2 linked regions of the Arabidopsis thaliana genome follow. The protein of the gene in region 1 interacts with the protein of each later gene in a pairwise test. Each region holds a gene or a part of one and is shown in the gene's direction. Other genes may lie near its edges. The genes, in order: AT2G44710 and AtRZ-1b.

What was found.
Region 2: the proteins of AT2G44710 (region 1) and AtRZ-1b interact in a two-hybrid assay, tested with the Arabidopsis thaliana proteins (one large-scale study listed by BioGRID).

The regions. Positions count from the first base shown.
Region 1 is NC_003071.7:18,430,158-18,438,817, forward strand, and holds AT2G44710 (RNA-binding (RRM/RBD/RNP motifs) family protein), read left to right. Parts: upstream 1-2,528; 5' UTR 2,529-2,744; coding exon 2,745-3,024; intron 3,025-3,075; exon of another isoform or gene 3,076-3,299; coding exon of another isoform or gene 3,300-3,324; coding exon 3,325-3,881; intron 3,882-3,964; coding exon 3,965-4,054; intron 4,055-4,145; coding exon 4,146-4,385; intron 4,386-4,669; coding exon 4,670-4,891; intron 4,892-4,965; coding exon 4,966-5,323; intron 5,324-5,428; coding exon 5,429-5,742; intron 5,743-5,834; coding exon 5,835-5,938; intron 5,939-6,030; coding exon 6,031-6,134; intron 6,135-6,230; coding exon 6,231-6,301; intron 6,302-6,382; coding exon 6,383-6,472; 3' UTR 6,473-6,474; exon of another isoform or gene 6,475-6,641; 3' UTR 6,642-7,064; downstream 7,065-8,660. Other genes in the region: ARAC9 (RAC-like 9), read left to right, coding at 51-115, 211-276, 378-479; AT2G44700 (Galactose oxidase/kelch repeat superfamily protein), read left to right, coding at 858-1,964; AT2G44730 (Alcohol dehydrogenase transcription factor Myb/SANT-like family protein), read right to left, coding at 7,290-8,408; AT2G44735 (uncharacterized protein), read left to right, coding at 8,466-8,559, 8,639-8,660.
Region 2 is NC_003070.9:22,337,350-22,344,053, forward strand, and holds AtRZ-1b (RNA-binding (RRM/RBD/RNP motifs) family protein with retrovirus zinc finger-like domain-containing protein), read left to right. Parts: upstream 1-2,459; 5' UTR 2,460-2,532; intron 2,533-2,537; exon of another isoform or gene 2,538-2,649; intron 2,650-2,726; 5' UTR 2,727-2,739; coding exon 2,740-2,865; exon of another isoform or gene 2,866-3,824; coding exon of another isoform or gene 3,825-3,839; exon of another isoform or gene 3,840-3,870; intron 3,871-3,956; coding exon 3,957-4,465; intron 4,466-4,555; coding exon 4,556-4,799; 3' UTR 4,800-4,948; downstream 4,949-6,704. Other genes in the region: AT1G60640 (stress response protein), read right to left, coding at 185-262, 352-417, 509-568, 660-725, 825-884, 970-1,035, 1,118-1,177, 1,269-1,334 and 3 more; CB5LP (cytochrome B5-like protein), read right to left, coding at 5,240-5,605. UniProt on the Arabidopsis thaliana protein: Binds RNA and DNA sequences non-specifically. May be involved in tolerance to cold stress.

The DNA.
Region 1 (8,660 bases):
TGTGTAAGTGATGTTATGTAGTATATAAGATGAATTTCTTGATATTGCAGATCTAAGAGACAACATGCAGTTCCCAAAGAATTATCCAGGTGCTTGCACAATCTTCCCAGAACAGGTATGTTTTTTTAAAGATTCTTCTTCAATGTATATGATCAAGAACCATGTTAAGAATCAAACTCTTTTATAACTCAAAGATTGCTTCTTTTATAGGGTCAAGAACTAAGAAAGGAAATAGGAGCATTAGCATACATAGAGTGCAGCTCAAAAGCACAAATGGTAAAGTAACCATTAATGCTTGAGTTACATTTTACAATTAGACCAAATATTTTGGACCTCAATCTGATAAAGAAAGACTTATGATGATGCTAAATTTGCAGAACGTAAAAGCCGTGTTTGATGAAGCGATCAAAGTAGTTTTACATCCTCCTTCAAAGACTAAGAAGCGAAAGAGAAAGATCGGTTTATGCCATGTTCTTTGACTAGTGTACTCAAGTCTCTGGCTTTGGTTTGTTTTACATCTTTTTTAGTGTGTTTCTTCTATGAAGGACTCTTGCAGATTTTAGTATGATTAGCTATCTTCGTTATAAAAGTTTGATCTTGTAGTAGAGATTCTTGTAACAGAATTATAAGCGAATTCTCGTCTATCAGTCTATGTAAAAGAACAATGTTTGTCTTCTTTGAGTTCAAGAGACAACAACAAAGAACCGTTTTAGCGCAAAAAGAAACAAAATAAACCGATTGAAACAGAATCGAAGAATAAATAAACCGGGTTTTGTTTTTTGGCTAATAACCGAAACCGAAATAGAATAAATCAATAAAATCTCAATTCTCTAGTCTTCTCCTTTAAACTAGAGTCGATGTCTAGCTCCAACGAACCACCGCGAAAAACCGACCAACCATCGTCGTCATCGGCATCGGCATCGGCATCGCCGTCATTGTTTTTGTCACTGCCACTGGAAATCATTTCGATGATCTTAGCCCGCGTCCCAAAACGATATTACCCAATCCTCTGCTCCGTCTCCAAGAACATGCGGAGTCTTGTTCGCTCGCCTGAAATTCACAAGGCTCGATCTTTACTCGGAAAAGATTATCTCTATATCGGCTTCATCGACGAAAATTATCGCCCCGTATACGACTACTGGTACACTCTCCGGAGAATCGAGAACAGTACGACCGAGAATCTCTTCGAATCCATTGAGTTCCCTTATCCTTCCGAGCCTAATCGATTTTCCATGAACGCCGTTGGTCCAAAGATCTTCTTCATTTCAGAATCTTGTACTCCTTCATCAAGACTTTCGATCTTTGACACCCGATTTGGGGAGTTGCGTCAAGGACCTTGTTTGCTAGTGAAGCGAGGGTACAATTGCGTAGGACTAGTCGGCGGTAAGGTCTATGTGATCGGAGGCTATCAGGACGACGAGATTGCAGCGGAAAGCTTTGATCTAAATACGCAAACTTGGGAAGCAGCGCCGATTCCCGATGAAAAAGAAAGTCACAGGTGGATTTGTAAAGCAAATGTTTCATTTGACAGGAAGGTTTGTGCTTTAAGATCTCGTGAAGGCATGACTTGTTATGACACTAGAGATGGTTCTTGTCAGAGATCTGAGATGCCTAATGATCAATGGTCTAGAGTAGGATTGTGCGTGATTGACAATGTGCTCTTTGTTTACTTCTCTAGATTCGGGTTAATGTGGTATGACTCTAAACTGATGCTGTGGAGAGTGGTTTATGGTTTTGATCTTGACAACGCTCGATCAGTTGGAATCGGGGAATACTACGGAAAGTTGGCGTTTATATGGGAAAAACCAAGTCTTAATGTTAGTGAAAGCAAAGAGATTTGGTGTAGAATGATTGGTTTGCTTAGGAGTGAAGTAGGAATTCATGGAGCTGCAGAACCGTCTCAACTTGTCGAGATTGTCCCTAACGGTTATAGAATGTGTCATTGTCTGTCTCTTTCAGGTTAAAACATGTCTAGTACTACTTTCTTTGGTGTAAAATGATTGTTTTGGATAGGAGTGAAGTAGGAATTCATGTGACTAAAGATGATGATGTTTAATACTTTCGTTAGTCTATATCAATACAATGTGTTACAAGATTATGAATGTGTTGCGGCGTTTACGTCTTCAACTCTCGATTTATTCAATTAATGTTGCAGTTTCAGCATCTTCCTCTGTTCCACCTAATCAAGTTTGTGTTATTGTAAACTCACTCAGTTAAGTGTATTTTACATCGGAGTTGTTGTGTTGTGTTTCTCTTGCCCATTAAACCGATTCCATCGAAAACTGTATTCTTAAACCGAATAATGCAAATATAAATTATAAACCAAGACGAAACCAAAAAAAGATAACCGAAAATGAATGAAAACCGGACTGAACATCGGTAATACAATTAGTCAACCAACACACTTGAAACTCCATACGAGTAAAGGCCCATTGGGGATGAGGATATTTGGGCCAATCCTTCTTACCGTTTTTCGTTTGTTAACAATTACCGAATTAAAAGCTTGATCGCCACGTCTTTTTCTTAATAGAATATATTGATTTTATTTATCTTTTATTTTTAGACCAAGCTCAGGCTATCATCTCTCCGTTAATTAGGGTTTTCTTCTCTATCTCGATTTCAATACCATTGTTGATCCGCTGAGCTAGGGTTGTTCGATCCCGATAATTGTGTCGCTTAGCTCTGATCTCTGTTCATCGAATTTGGTTAATTTGTTTTGATTGGTTAAGATACATTGGAAAGCGATGCCACCGAAGGTTGTGAAGAGGGGAGGCGCCGCGAGAAGAGGTGGGAGGCTTACGAGATCGGCGCTCAAGGCGCAGAATCCTCACGTGGAATCTTCCCATGACGAATCTGTTAATATCGGTGAGCTCTCAGGCTCCGATGCACTGGAAGCCAAGGAGGTGACTCCGGAGGTTGATAAAACTGTTGAGGAAGAGAATCCATTAGATGTGCCGAAGTCATCGGATTCAATTGATGATTCTGAAGCTGCAGCGAATCCGCATGTTGATGTTCCGTCGAAAAGTAAGATTCTTTTAGCCTGGTTATTAATTTTGTTTCGTTTTTGGGATTCTCTACGTTTTCGTTGTTTTGATGGATCTAAGTTTCGCTTTGACGAAAGTTTGTGACTTAGAGTTCCAACATATCTGACCATAGAGATTAAATGAATGTCTGACCATTGAATGTATGAATCTAATTTGGAGGATGGATGTTTAGCTGTTTTTAATTCTGTGGAAGATAGACGTATCTTCTGAGATTGTTATCTCTGAACAAACTTTAGGCTACCTGGAATAGTGTAGATGTTTTACTCGCTTTTACTCGCAGAGGAGACTGAGGTAGAGGAATCTGTGGATGATTTTGGAAAAGATGAAAGATTGGATTTAGATGACAATGAACCTGAGTATGAGGCTGAGGAATATGGCGGGGAGGAGTTTGAAGAGAGGGAATTGGGACAGGAGGACCATGAGTTGGTAAATGAGGAGGGGGAAGAACTGGAGGAAGAGATTGAGGTCGAGGAGGAAGCTGGTGAGTTTGCAGACGAGATTGGAGATGGTGCGGAGGACCTTGATAGTGAGGATGATGATGATGATCATGCTATTGAAGAGGTCAAGCATGGAGAAACTGTTGATGTGGAAGAAGAAGAGCATCATGATGTTCTCCATGAGAGGCGTAAGCGTAAGGAGTTCGAAATATTTGTTGGGAGTTTGGACAAAGGTGCTTCGGAGGAGGACTTAAAGAAAGTGTTTGGTCATGTGGGCGAGGTGACTGAAGTTAGGATTTTGAAGAATCCTCAGACAAAGAAGAGCAAGGGTTCTGCTTTCTTGCGTTTTGCAACTGTGGAACAGGCAAAACGAGCTGTTAAAGAGCTTAAAAGCCCAATGGTAATTGTCTACACTTTAGTATTTGATGGAGAGTTTGTGTAGCTTTACATTTTGTATCATGCTCTTGGTCATTGGGACTGCAGATAAATGGTAAAAAGTGTGGTGTAACTGCAAGCCAAGATAATGATACCCTCTTCGTTGGTAACATATGCAAGATATGGACCCCAGAAGCTGTAAGTATTTGGGTGTCCGTAGATATGTCAATTAAACCCAACTCCACAGTTCGTGGTGATCCTGACAATCAGGTATTTGTTGTTGTTCCAGTTGAGGGAGAAGCTTAAACACTATGGAGTTGAGAATATGGATGATATAACGTTGGTAGAGGACAGCAACAATGTCAACATGAATCGAGGGTATGCCTTTTTGGAATTCTCATCTCGCTCAGATGCCATGGATGCTCACAAGCGTCTCGTCAAGAAAGATGTGATGTTTGGAGTTGAGAAGCCTGCAAAGGTCTCTTTTACTGATTCTTTCTTAGACCTGGAAGATGAGATAATGGCGCAGGTACTCACATTGCAGGATCAATTATTTCTAGCAACTTTCATCCTACCATGTCTTCTTTAGAGCGTTGGAGGAGTTTATAGGGGCATGTGTGGGTGCCACCTATTCTGTATGGTGACTTAGAATACTTGCTAAACCCATCATGAAAACAGAGTCAGAATACATATTCCTTTTGGCCCTCTAACAACATGCTAGATACTGAATTATTGATTGTTGGTGAATCTATTATATCTAACTTATCTATCTTGCTCATAGTAATTAGTTTTATGATATTTCTGGTGTTACAGGTTAAGACAATCTTCATTGACGGTCTGTTACCTTCATGGAATGAAGAACGTGTTAGAGACCTTCTGAAACCATATGGTAAACTTGAAAAAGTTGAGCTTGCTCGCAATATGCCATCAGCAAGGAGGAAAGATTTTGGCTTTGTAACTTTTGATACTCATGAAGCTGCTGTGAGTTGTGCCAAATTCATCAACAACTCAGAGCTAGGCGAAGGGGAGGACAAGGTATGCATAATTTAAATGCATTATCCTTATCCACGAAGTATTTTCTTGCTTTCTAATTCTCTTTTTTTTTCCAGGCAAAAGTGAGAGCACGCCTGTCTAGACCACTTCAGAAAGCAGGTAAAGGCCGACAATCTAGTCGCTCAGACCAGCGGTCTAGGCATGGGGCTGGACGGTCTGGAAGGAGTTCATTTGCTCGTCTTCCACCTCGTAGCCTTGCTTCCTCTCGGAGTGCTAGAGGCGCTGGATCTCGGGCCCCATCTTCTAGTGCAAAGAGAGCTTCTGGATCAAGAGGAAGACGTCCTCGCCCACCTCTACCTCCGCCTGCAAGAGCTAGGCCCTTGCCTCCACCTGCAAGAGCCAGGCCCATGCCACCACCTGCAAGAGCCAGGCCCTTGCCACCACCTGCTAGGTCATATGATAGAAGACCTCCAGGTACCACTGGAATTATTACATGTTTAGTTATCTTTTTTAGTTGAATCTCTTTTGTGTTCATGTATCTAATGATTCTGATCATATCTTCCATATTGTGTTTTGCAGTTCCTCTGTATCCAAAGGCTAGCTTGAAGAGAGACTATGATCGGCGTGATGAACTTCCTCCTCCAAGAAGCAGACCAGCTGTAAGCTATAGTTCCAGGCTTTCTCCTGAGAGGCATCTGTCTTACAGAGATGATTATCCACCCCGGGGTTCGGGTTATTCAGATCTTCCTAGAAGTTCTTCTCGCTCTGAAATTAGGAGGCCATTCGTAGATGACCTTTACAGTCCGAGATTTGAAAGACCTCCAAGTTACAGTGAGGGAAGACCTCGTGCTTATGAACCTCTTCCTGGATCAAAGCGTCCATATGCTGCACTGGTCTGACTTATTGTTTTCTCCGACCAGTTTGTCTTCTTAATTTTGTTTCTTTAGACTATGATTGTTTACTCTAACGAGTGTTCATTATTCAGGATGACCTTCCTCCCCGTTATGCTGATGTTGATGTTCGTCATTCAAGACCCCGTCTGGACTATGATGTTGGCCCATCTCAATATGGGGAATCCTACGGGGACCGGTATGTTCTCTTTTTATGGATAGCTTCAGTTATTTTTGGTAGCAATTTTCTGTGCCAAGTGTATTATTTTCTTACTTCCATGTTTGGTCTAGGATTCCTAGGTCTAGTCTAGGATATGGAAGCAGCCGAAATTCTATGTCAAATCATGACTCGCGGGGCCCATACAGCAGTCGTCAGGGAATGGATTATGGAGGAGGTTTGATTCAGAACTTGGCTTAACAGAGAGCAATACTTCGTCGAGATACACTTACTGCCTTCAATGGCTATAATTTCATAATGTTGCTTTCTTCAGGTTCTTATAGTGGCAGCGATGTAGGAGGTATGTACTCGTCAAGCTATGGTGGCGACTTACCCAGAAGAGATGTAAGTGGCTTCACACTTTCCCCTTTTTTATATTTATTTTGGAAAGTCAAGTTGTGTAACATTTTAGTATTGGATTTACAGGGAGGAGGTAGCTCGTATTCTTCAATTTACTCCAGCCGTGGCTTGGGTGGTAGTAGTTACTCTGGTGGTGGTCCAGGATCATACTACTGAATGTGAGTGTGTTTGGTTCCTTCCATCTTTAGTTGTGTCTTTGTGCATTATTTTTTGGTTTTGTTTGTGGGATATATTGTTGGTTGGAAAGAAAACGGTATCTCCTCTTTCAAGCTCTAAGCAGGAACTATAGATCAAATGTGTGCTTAAGTTTGTTAATGGAACACAGAATTTCACATGACCGAGGCTGCTAAAAAAGGAGGTTTGGCCATGCAAAGTTGTGTATGTAGAAAGGAAGCTACCAGCTGCGAAAGGATTAAAGCCAGCTTCGGTGAGACTGTTGGAATATTAATGGGCTTGCATCTACAACTGCACTTGTATCTTTTTTCGGATGGAATGATAAGCTCGAGTTTTATAGAGATGGTTCATAGTTGTGGGACTCGTTATCTATCTTATCTATCTCTATCTCTTGAATAATGGATGGATTTGTTGGAACAGAGATTAAGCTGTGTTTGTATTATTGATCCATCAGTTTAGTTAAGCTTTCACCGTCTTCTCAGCTTAAGATTTGCATTACTTCTGTTTAGATCTGATGCTTGCTCTGTTTTACTCTCACTGTGGTAAAACAGAGACATTATCCTTGAGACTTGTGGAAGAGACATTAACAACCTCTCACTGTCGGAAACTGAGGAACTCCCAATTTTTATACACTTTATAACATACATAATCAAGCAGGGATACATTACTGGTGTTAGACAGATGCATAAGCTAATAAAAGCTCTTTCGATTTCTACAATCTAGAAAATTTGAAAATCACACATTAATTTAATTTATGGCGCCTTTTGATCAGGAGTCAGCTAAAGACGACGACATTCTTCTATCTAGCTTTCTTCTTCTTGTCTTGCTCCTCCGTAGTAGTATAATCTGATAAGCTTTTAGCAAACGCTTCCACAATTCGTTGTTGAGATTCCAAAATCATCTTTGTCCTCTTCATCTCTGTATCCATCCTCATCGCTTCTATCTCTCTCGTCATCTCCATTCTCGTCTGCTCTGTTCTCACCAACGTATCTCCAAGCAGCTTTATCGCACTAGCTATCTCCACCATTGGATCATTATCATCCTCCTCCGTCTTCATCATCATCTCTCTCCCTCGTTTCCCTCCTCCTTCAGGAATTCTCACAACTCTAGCACCGTAACTAGATCCTCCTGCTCCGATACCACGACCAGCTCTCGGATTTGAACTCACACCAGCACTTGGACTCGCCGTGTATTTCTGATCAATCTTACCGGGAAACCTCGGTCCAGGCTGTGCTATACTCACTCCAGTCGGTATCCGAATTCGAATCCCGCCGCTACTACTACTCCCTCCACCACCACCAGATCCAGCTGTACCATTCCTGTTAAAGAACCTCGGCGTCGTCCTCGCTCCTCCTCCTCCGCCGCTGAATTGATACCTAGCTGTGTAATTACCATCATCGTGATCATCATCATCTCCACTTTCGTTACCTTGTTTAATCTCTGGTCTATTCTCCATAGCTTCCATTCGCTTAAAATGAACCCAAGACGATATAAACCTCGCCACCGGCACAGATCTAGCTCTCTGTATCTCGGTCCGGTACCTTTTCCGGAGCTTCTCCATCTTGTGACGGCACTGAACCGCGGTTTTCTTAAGAATCACGTCGGGGCAGTTAGCACCAACCGCTTCTGCAACTTCTTCCCAGTGATTCGCCTTTAGATTTCCACGGTTAAGAGCGTACCATTTGTCTCTGTACGCGTCAATTAGCGCGATCGTCTCTTCCAGAGACCAGCACGGCGGAGGTAACCGCCTAGAGTTCTTGGACGCGGTGGGGATGGAGGCGCTCTTCAGATCTGTGTTGGAAGCTGGTTCGGTTGACGCATCGTCATGAGCGGAGGAAGATAATGGTGGCGGGAGGGGAGCTAAAGGTGATGGATCCGGAATTGGATCGTGGTTCATCGGAGAATCCGGATCGGACATGGATCAAAAAATTGAAGAAGAAGGAAAGAAAAAGACAGATCTTGTGAAGGAAGAGAAATGGCTGTAATGCGATGGCTTTTCGCGGCGGCGATTGCACGTAATATCGAGAAGATAAGGGAGAGAGAGAGTGGAGGAGAGGCGTATGATAATGGTGGGTGGCGGAGGATAAGGTTAGATAGAAGCGTAGATTAGCAGAGTTGGTAATAAAGCCTTATGCGGTGGTGGCGGAGGGTGGTGGGGGCACACCGTCGT
Region 2 (6,704 bases), on another chromosome or scaffold:
TTGTATAACTCAATTATCAAAATCATATCAGTTATAACAAGCACCGTATTTGGTAGACAAAACTTGAAGTTTAAAAAGCACATAATTAACTCACTCTCAACCTATGTTTCTTCATCTATTCATCGACATCCAAGTAAAAAAAGATGAATCTTTCTGGCTAACCATATTGGGCAATACAGCAGTTTCAATCCTTAGTTTGACGCCTTTTCTTTCTAGATTTTTGTGATGCATCTTCGTTTTCTCCTTCCTTAGTCGATGGAATCTGGATATTGGTAAGAAAGAATGAATCGATTAGGGGTTTTGACAGACCAACAATGGTTACAAGGATACAATTATGAGCAGGCTATTTACCTTTTCCTGTTTTTCTGATCTCTTAAGCTGTCTTCGTGAGCTACTGTTTCCTTTTATCTGCTTCTCCTAAAATTAAGATTTTTGAAACAATTTGTTAGGTCTCAGCGGAAGAATAACAAAGCACTTGTTTGCATTTGCTAGAATTCAAAAAGAAAACCTGTGATGGTGTCTCTGGATTGTCAACTTCTTCGTTTTCTCCATGTTTGGTTAATGAACCCTGGATGTTCATATTAAAAAGACGAATCAATAAGGTTTCAGACAAACCATCCATCGTCACAAGGTTACAGTAATGAGCAGGCTACTTTTACCTTTCCCTGTTTTTCTAATCTCTTACGCTGTCTTCGTGCTCTACTGTTTTCTTTTATCTGCTTCCCCTACATTTAGTAGTTTTGCAAGAATTTGGTTGAGTAAATGACTCATGGGAAGAACACAAAGCACTTGTTGACATTTGCTCGAACGTCAAAAAGAAAAACCTGAGATGGCGTCCCTGAATTGTCAACCTCTTCGTTTTCTCCATGTTTGGTCGATGAATCCTGGATGTTCATATTAAGAAACGAATAGATAAGGTTTTTGACAGGTCAACCATGGTCACAGGGTTATAGAGCAGGCAAATTTTACCTTTTCCTGTTTTTGTGATCTCCTAAGCTCTCTCCGAGCTCTTCTGTTTCCTTTTATCTGCTTCTCCTACATTTAGGATATTTGCAAGACTTTGGTTAGGACTCATTGGACTAACACAAGCATTTGATGGCATTGTCTTAAATCTCACCTGAGATGGCGTCTCTGGATCTTCAACTTCTTCGTTTTCTCCATTTTTGGTCAATGAATCCTAGACGTTTATATTGAAAACACGAATCAATTAGGTTTCCAACAAACCAACCATGGTCACAATGCTTCAGTATTGAGCAAGCTACATTTACCTTTTCCTGTTTTTGAGATCTCTTTCCCTGTCTTTGTGATCTTCTGTTTCCTTTTTTCTCCTTCTCCTACATTTAAGATTTGTGCAAGAATTTGGTTAGGACTCATTGACAAAACAAAAAGCACTCGTTGGCAAATTCTCTAATGTAACCTGAGATGCTGTCTCTAGATCGTCAACTTCTTCGTCATCAGTTCTAATCTTTCCTTCTTTCACTAATTTCTCCATACGAGCATGCTTCTGAAATGAGTCAAACGACAAAAAATACTATCTCATCAACTACAAGACTGATGAGGAAAAGCTCAAAACTAATCCCGTGCTTATCATCTACTACTTGATTCCAAAAAGGACCAAACACTCAAATGCTAATTCAAAGCTACCTAATTTACCTTTGATGAAACATGTGCTTGCATTGTGTTCTCATTCAAGCAAACAACGGTTGGACAATATCTGCATTTATAAACCGATTTGGATTGTATCATACAACCGAGAATATAGTTCTCTTCCTCTTCTTCGGGTGGTTCTTCTAAAAAACGATTCATTGACATCTTCTCCAATGTCCCACCATAGTCATCAGCATCAGAGTTATCATCACCATCATCAACATCAGCGTCTTCGCCAGCAGCTATAACAGAGAATAAGCAAAGATTTTACCAAAGGTTCTCTGAGAGTACAATCACAAGAGAACTAAAAGAGATAATTGCTCAATTGAAGAAGCAAACCTGGGGATTCATCATCTCCTGAATCATCACCGTCCTCGGAAACTTCTGCAACAGAGTCTTCTTCTTCAGATTGTTCTGATTCTTCCGTCTCAGGATCAGAGTCAGAAGAGAAGCACGATGAATCGGATCCACTGTCTTTATCACCATGCTCAAGCTTGTAAAATCGTCTCTTTATCATTTTTACTTCGTGTTTACTCTACAGAGACAAAACCCAAATTTAGAATTCGAAATTCTCCAACAAATCAAAAGTAAAGGAGCAAACTTCGGATTAAAGTAAATAGAAAAGAGGAGACTTTCGTACCGTGAGTTCCGCAGAAGAGAGCTTGGAGACTGAAAAGGGGAAAGCTTTGCTAAAGAGAAGGGTTTTAGGGTTTTTAGGTTATTTTTGTAAATTAAGTAACTTTTATAAGGGTGTTTTAGTCATTGAGTGGACAACATTTTATCCCAATAAATATACTTATTGAGTTGAAGTTAATCCTCTGCAGTTATTTCATTGTCCATCACCAATCGCCAAAACCGCAGAAAGGTCTGACCTTTGGATTAGCGGTGAGTAATTAGGGTTTATCATATCGAAATTTCTAGGGTTTCTTTTTCTTACTTCGGATTTCAGCAAGTTTATTGACCCGAATCTTTGTTTCAATAGAATTTTTTTGAGTTGTTTAAGTAAGAGTTGGAGTTTCGCTTTGATTTTTCGAGTTTGATTTTGTGGGCTAACTATGTTTATGCGTTTTTGGTTTCAGTGAGAGTTTCACAATGAAAGATAGAGAAAACGATGGAAATCTTGAGAGCAGAATCTTCGTGGGAGGGTTATCGTGGGATGTCACAGAGAGACAGCTTGAGAGTACCTTTGACCGCTACGGGAAAATCACTGAGTGTCAGGTCTTGTATCGATTCTCGTACTTTATGATCAGAAGTCTCAGAGACTCGTTTTGAAACCTGTGTTTAGTGAATGATACCTCTGAGATTGTAGGATAGTTTTGTTTGATGAACCTAAGACTCATCTATTCTGTAGAAGAGCACACACAGATATTGAGGTTTATTGACTTGTTGAAGGATGCAGTCGAGGAATTAGTAGAGCTTTCTTAGGAAGTAAACATGCATCTCAACCTCCTCTTGATCTGAAAATCTGTTTGAGAGCCGTATGTTTAGAAATGCAAGAGTTTTGAGATAGATCATGGCTCTTGTCTCAGCATCAGTGCAGTAATTTTGGTTTGACGTCACTGTGTTTTGTTGGATATTATGATTAAATTGCAGCTGAGCTCTCTTTTCAGTGGTTTTGACACCAATCAGGACTAACCATCTTTTATTCTCTTGCCTGTGGTATCTGCTTTAGTAGTCACTGAGATGGTTTTCTTGTACTCATTCATCATGAGCCACTAGTTGTTGTAATTGTAAAAGTACAGTTATTGGCACATGTAAGCATCTCTAAGTAGTCTATCAATACACCAAGATGATAAGTTTCTGGTCAAAAATGGTCTTGATCAGAATATTAGTCTTCTTTTTTAGGTCTTGATCAGAATATTAGTCTTCTTTTTTAGTGGAATTAGCATGGAAAACGCATTCCTGTGGATTTGTTGTGGGAAACTGATTTGAGGTAACAGGTCTGTTGTAAGGGTTAAAAGTATGGTTGGCTAGAGGCTAATCTCCAACATCGTTTTGCTAGGATTATTGTTGTGGTGATACTTCTTGTGGATTAGTATTTCTACAAGTATGCAGCTGTAGTTTGACTTTGTGTTGTGTGATTCTAAGGACTTGAAATGAAGTAAATTTGTGAATCTTGCTACCGTCTTCTGTTTGCTTGTAAATGTTCTGAGTTTGCCACTTCTAGGACATGCTATATGAGAGATAGGAATGTAATACATCTGCTTATTTCTTAACTCTAATGTAACATCTGGTTCTTAGTAATATATCTTGTTCCTGGCTCAATATGCATTTTAATAACATTATTGGTCTTCTTTGCGTACTTGTAGATTATGGTGGGGAGAGATACTGGGCGTCCACGTGGTTTTGGGTTTATTACATTCACTGATCGCAGAGGAGCTGATGATGCAATTAAGCACATGCATGGAAGGGAGTTGGGCAATAAGGTCATCTCCGTGAACAAAGCTGAGCCCAAAGTTGGTGGAGAAGATGTAGACCAATTAAAGAAAGGTGGAGGCTATTCATCTCGAGGGAAGGGAACCGAGGATGAGTGCTTTAAATGCAGACGCCCTGGTCATTGGGCTCGAGATTGCCCATCAACTGGTGACGATCGAGAACGGTTCAGAGTTCCCCTTGCGATGCGCTCTCGTATTGGAGACATAGATGGACACCGAGATCGCTATGGAGATCGTGATCTGGAGAGGGAGCGGGAGCGGGAGCGTGAGTTTGACCGCTACATGGATGGACGCCGTGACCGAGATGGGGGACGATATAGCTACAGGGACCGCTTCGACAGTGGAGACAAGTATGAGCCTCGTGATCACTATCCATTTGAGAGGTTTGTAGCTCTTGTCCTCAGGTCTAAATAAATGTTCCAACATGTGTTCTTTTAGGAAAGTCATGACCTTTTGATGTATTAACAATGTAGATACGCACCACCAGGAGACCGTTTTGTGAGTGATAGGTATGGGATGCCTGAACATCATCTTGAGAATGAATATCGCGGGAGAGAGAGAAGCTATGACAGGGACAGATACGCAAGGGATACAAGTGACAGATATGGAGATATGGGACCGATACGCGATGAGGGAAGACCCTACAGAAGCAGACCAGGTCCTTATGACCGTCCTAGCCGTCCTGGAGGCAGACCTTCATCATATGAACGTTGGTAGTTTGTTTTGGTTAACCAGATGTCAATGCTTATGCTTTGGGATTTAGGTCTATATCAGAGATAGAACTCGAACTCGAGATCTCTGTTATGCTTTTTTGTCGAATATTATGATTCTTCATCGCAGTAAAAAAGTTATGTTCTTATGATCCTATTGATTCCCATAAAGCAATTCAATAGATTAAACTCAAAATTGATGGATTTAAAACACTTGAGACAGAGTTAAGCATAGAACACTTGAAACAGAGCATAGCTTCACCATGAAAATTAAGAGAAAGGAGGAAACTTTGGCAATACAATGGAAGAAGAAGTGTTACACTAGCAAGACAAAAAGGTAATGCAATCTCAAATCTTCAATGAGAAGAGAATTAAAAAAGCCATCTTTAAGCTTACTTAAGAAGAAATCTCAAATCTTCAATCAAATCTCAAATCTTTAAGCTTTTACTAATGAAGTTCCCCGATGTAGAAATCTTCAATCATGTCGAAAACACGAGTGGCGTGTTGAGGTCCGAAGAAGCCATCAGTAGAATCATCACCAGCATGATCAAGAATAGCGTCACCACCAGGATGTTCTTCAACATAAGAAGTAATATCATAGACTTTATCTTTGATTATGATCCAACAATCGTTCCTTTTGTTATGTACTGCGACTTCACTCTTGCTGTAACTTTTTGGTCTTACCACATCTTCTACAGGCTCACTGCTAGATCTCTTCTTCTCTTGATTGTCGTTTGTTCTTCTTCGCTTTCCTTGGATTAAGAACAATGCTGATACTAGAAAACCCAGAAGCAATCCGATCACAGCTATCATCTTTCTCTCCTTGGAAATAGCAAAACCGGAGTGAATGACAATTGGAGAGAGTGGTGGATTAGATCCAGCTTGCTGACGAGTGACGACCCAAATTATTGAATTTAGGGTTTAGAGGGGCATAAAAGTCAAAACACAACGTTTTCATTGTCCTCATCTTCGTTAGTGGTTGTCGAGGTTTCTAACCAAAAAGCATCTCCACGTCTATGCAAAAATGAAGTTGTAGTTATTTTGGTTATTACTCGAACCTGAGACCCATGCATCTAATTTTTTTTCTCCTTCTCCCCGGCGAATCCTACTATTATCGATTAACTAATTTGATGTCTCATTTTTGTCTATGCACAAATTCAACTTGATTATTTAGGTATATAAGTAAATAAAAGATTTATCATAAAATTACACATGTAAAAGTTTGAAACAAATTTAATTATTCATAACTCACATAAGACATGTAAAAAAAAACAAAAAAAACAAATGTCACTTAGTGAAATGGATACCAAACTTTATGATTTATAATACCTTGTTGTAATTTAAATATCTGAATTTCCAAAGTGTAGGTGACTGTGTAATTCACAAAAATTGAGTAAAAGTTTAAAAAAATAAGGAGGAACAAACCATCTTTCTTCAAAGAGTGGACTAGACAAAAACAAAAAAGCAAAACCACCACAATGGAATAAAAAGTGGTTCTGTTTCTTAATAGAATAAAAACCATTACAAAACAAAACCACCATTTTCTCTCTCTCTCTCCTCGCCAGCTTCTGCAATTCGAAAGTTCTTCGCATCATCTTGCTGTCACCACTCTCTCGCGAATCGAATCACGATTCTTCAATCTTCTTCTTCTCTATTGCGATCTCTCTGAATTTTGTAGCTTCACGATTTCAGTATCTCTACTTTCATCACCAATCGTTGGGGGTTTAGGGTTTTTGCATCGACGCCATCTATCGAGCTACGGAGAAGCATACTCATCTTCTATTTTGGCTAAATCCGAGGTGGGTTTTGCTCAGGTTTTGCTCTTTTAGGTTTCTGTTGGGTTTTAATCGGATTTTTTTCCGTATGATTCTGAAATTGCTAAAACCCTAAATTGAACATGTTTTTGGGCGTG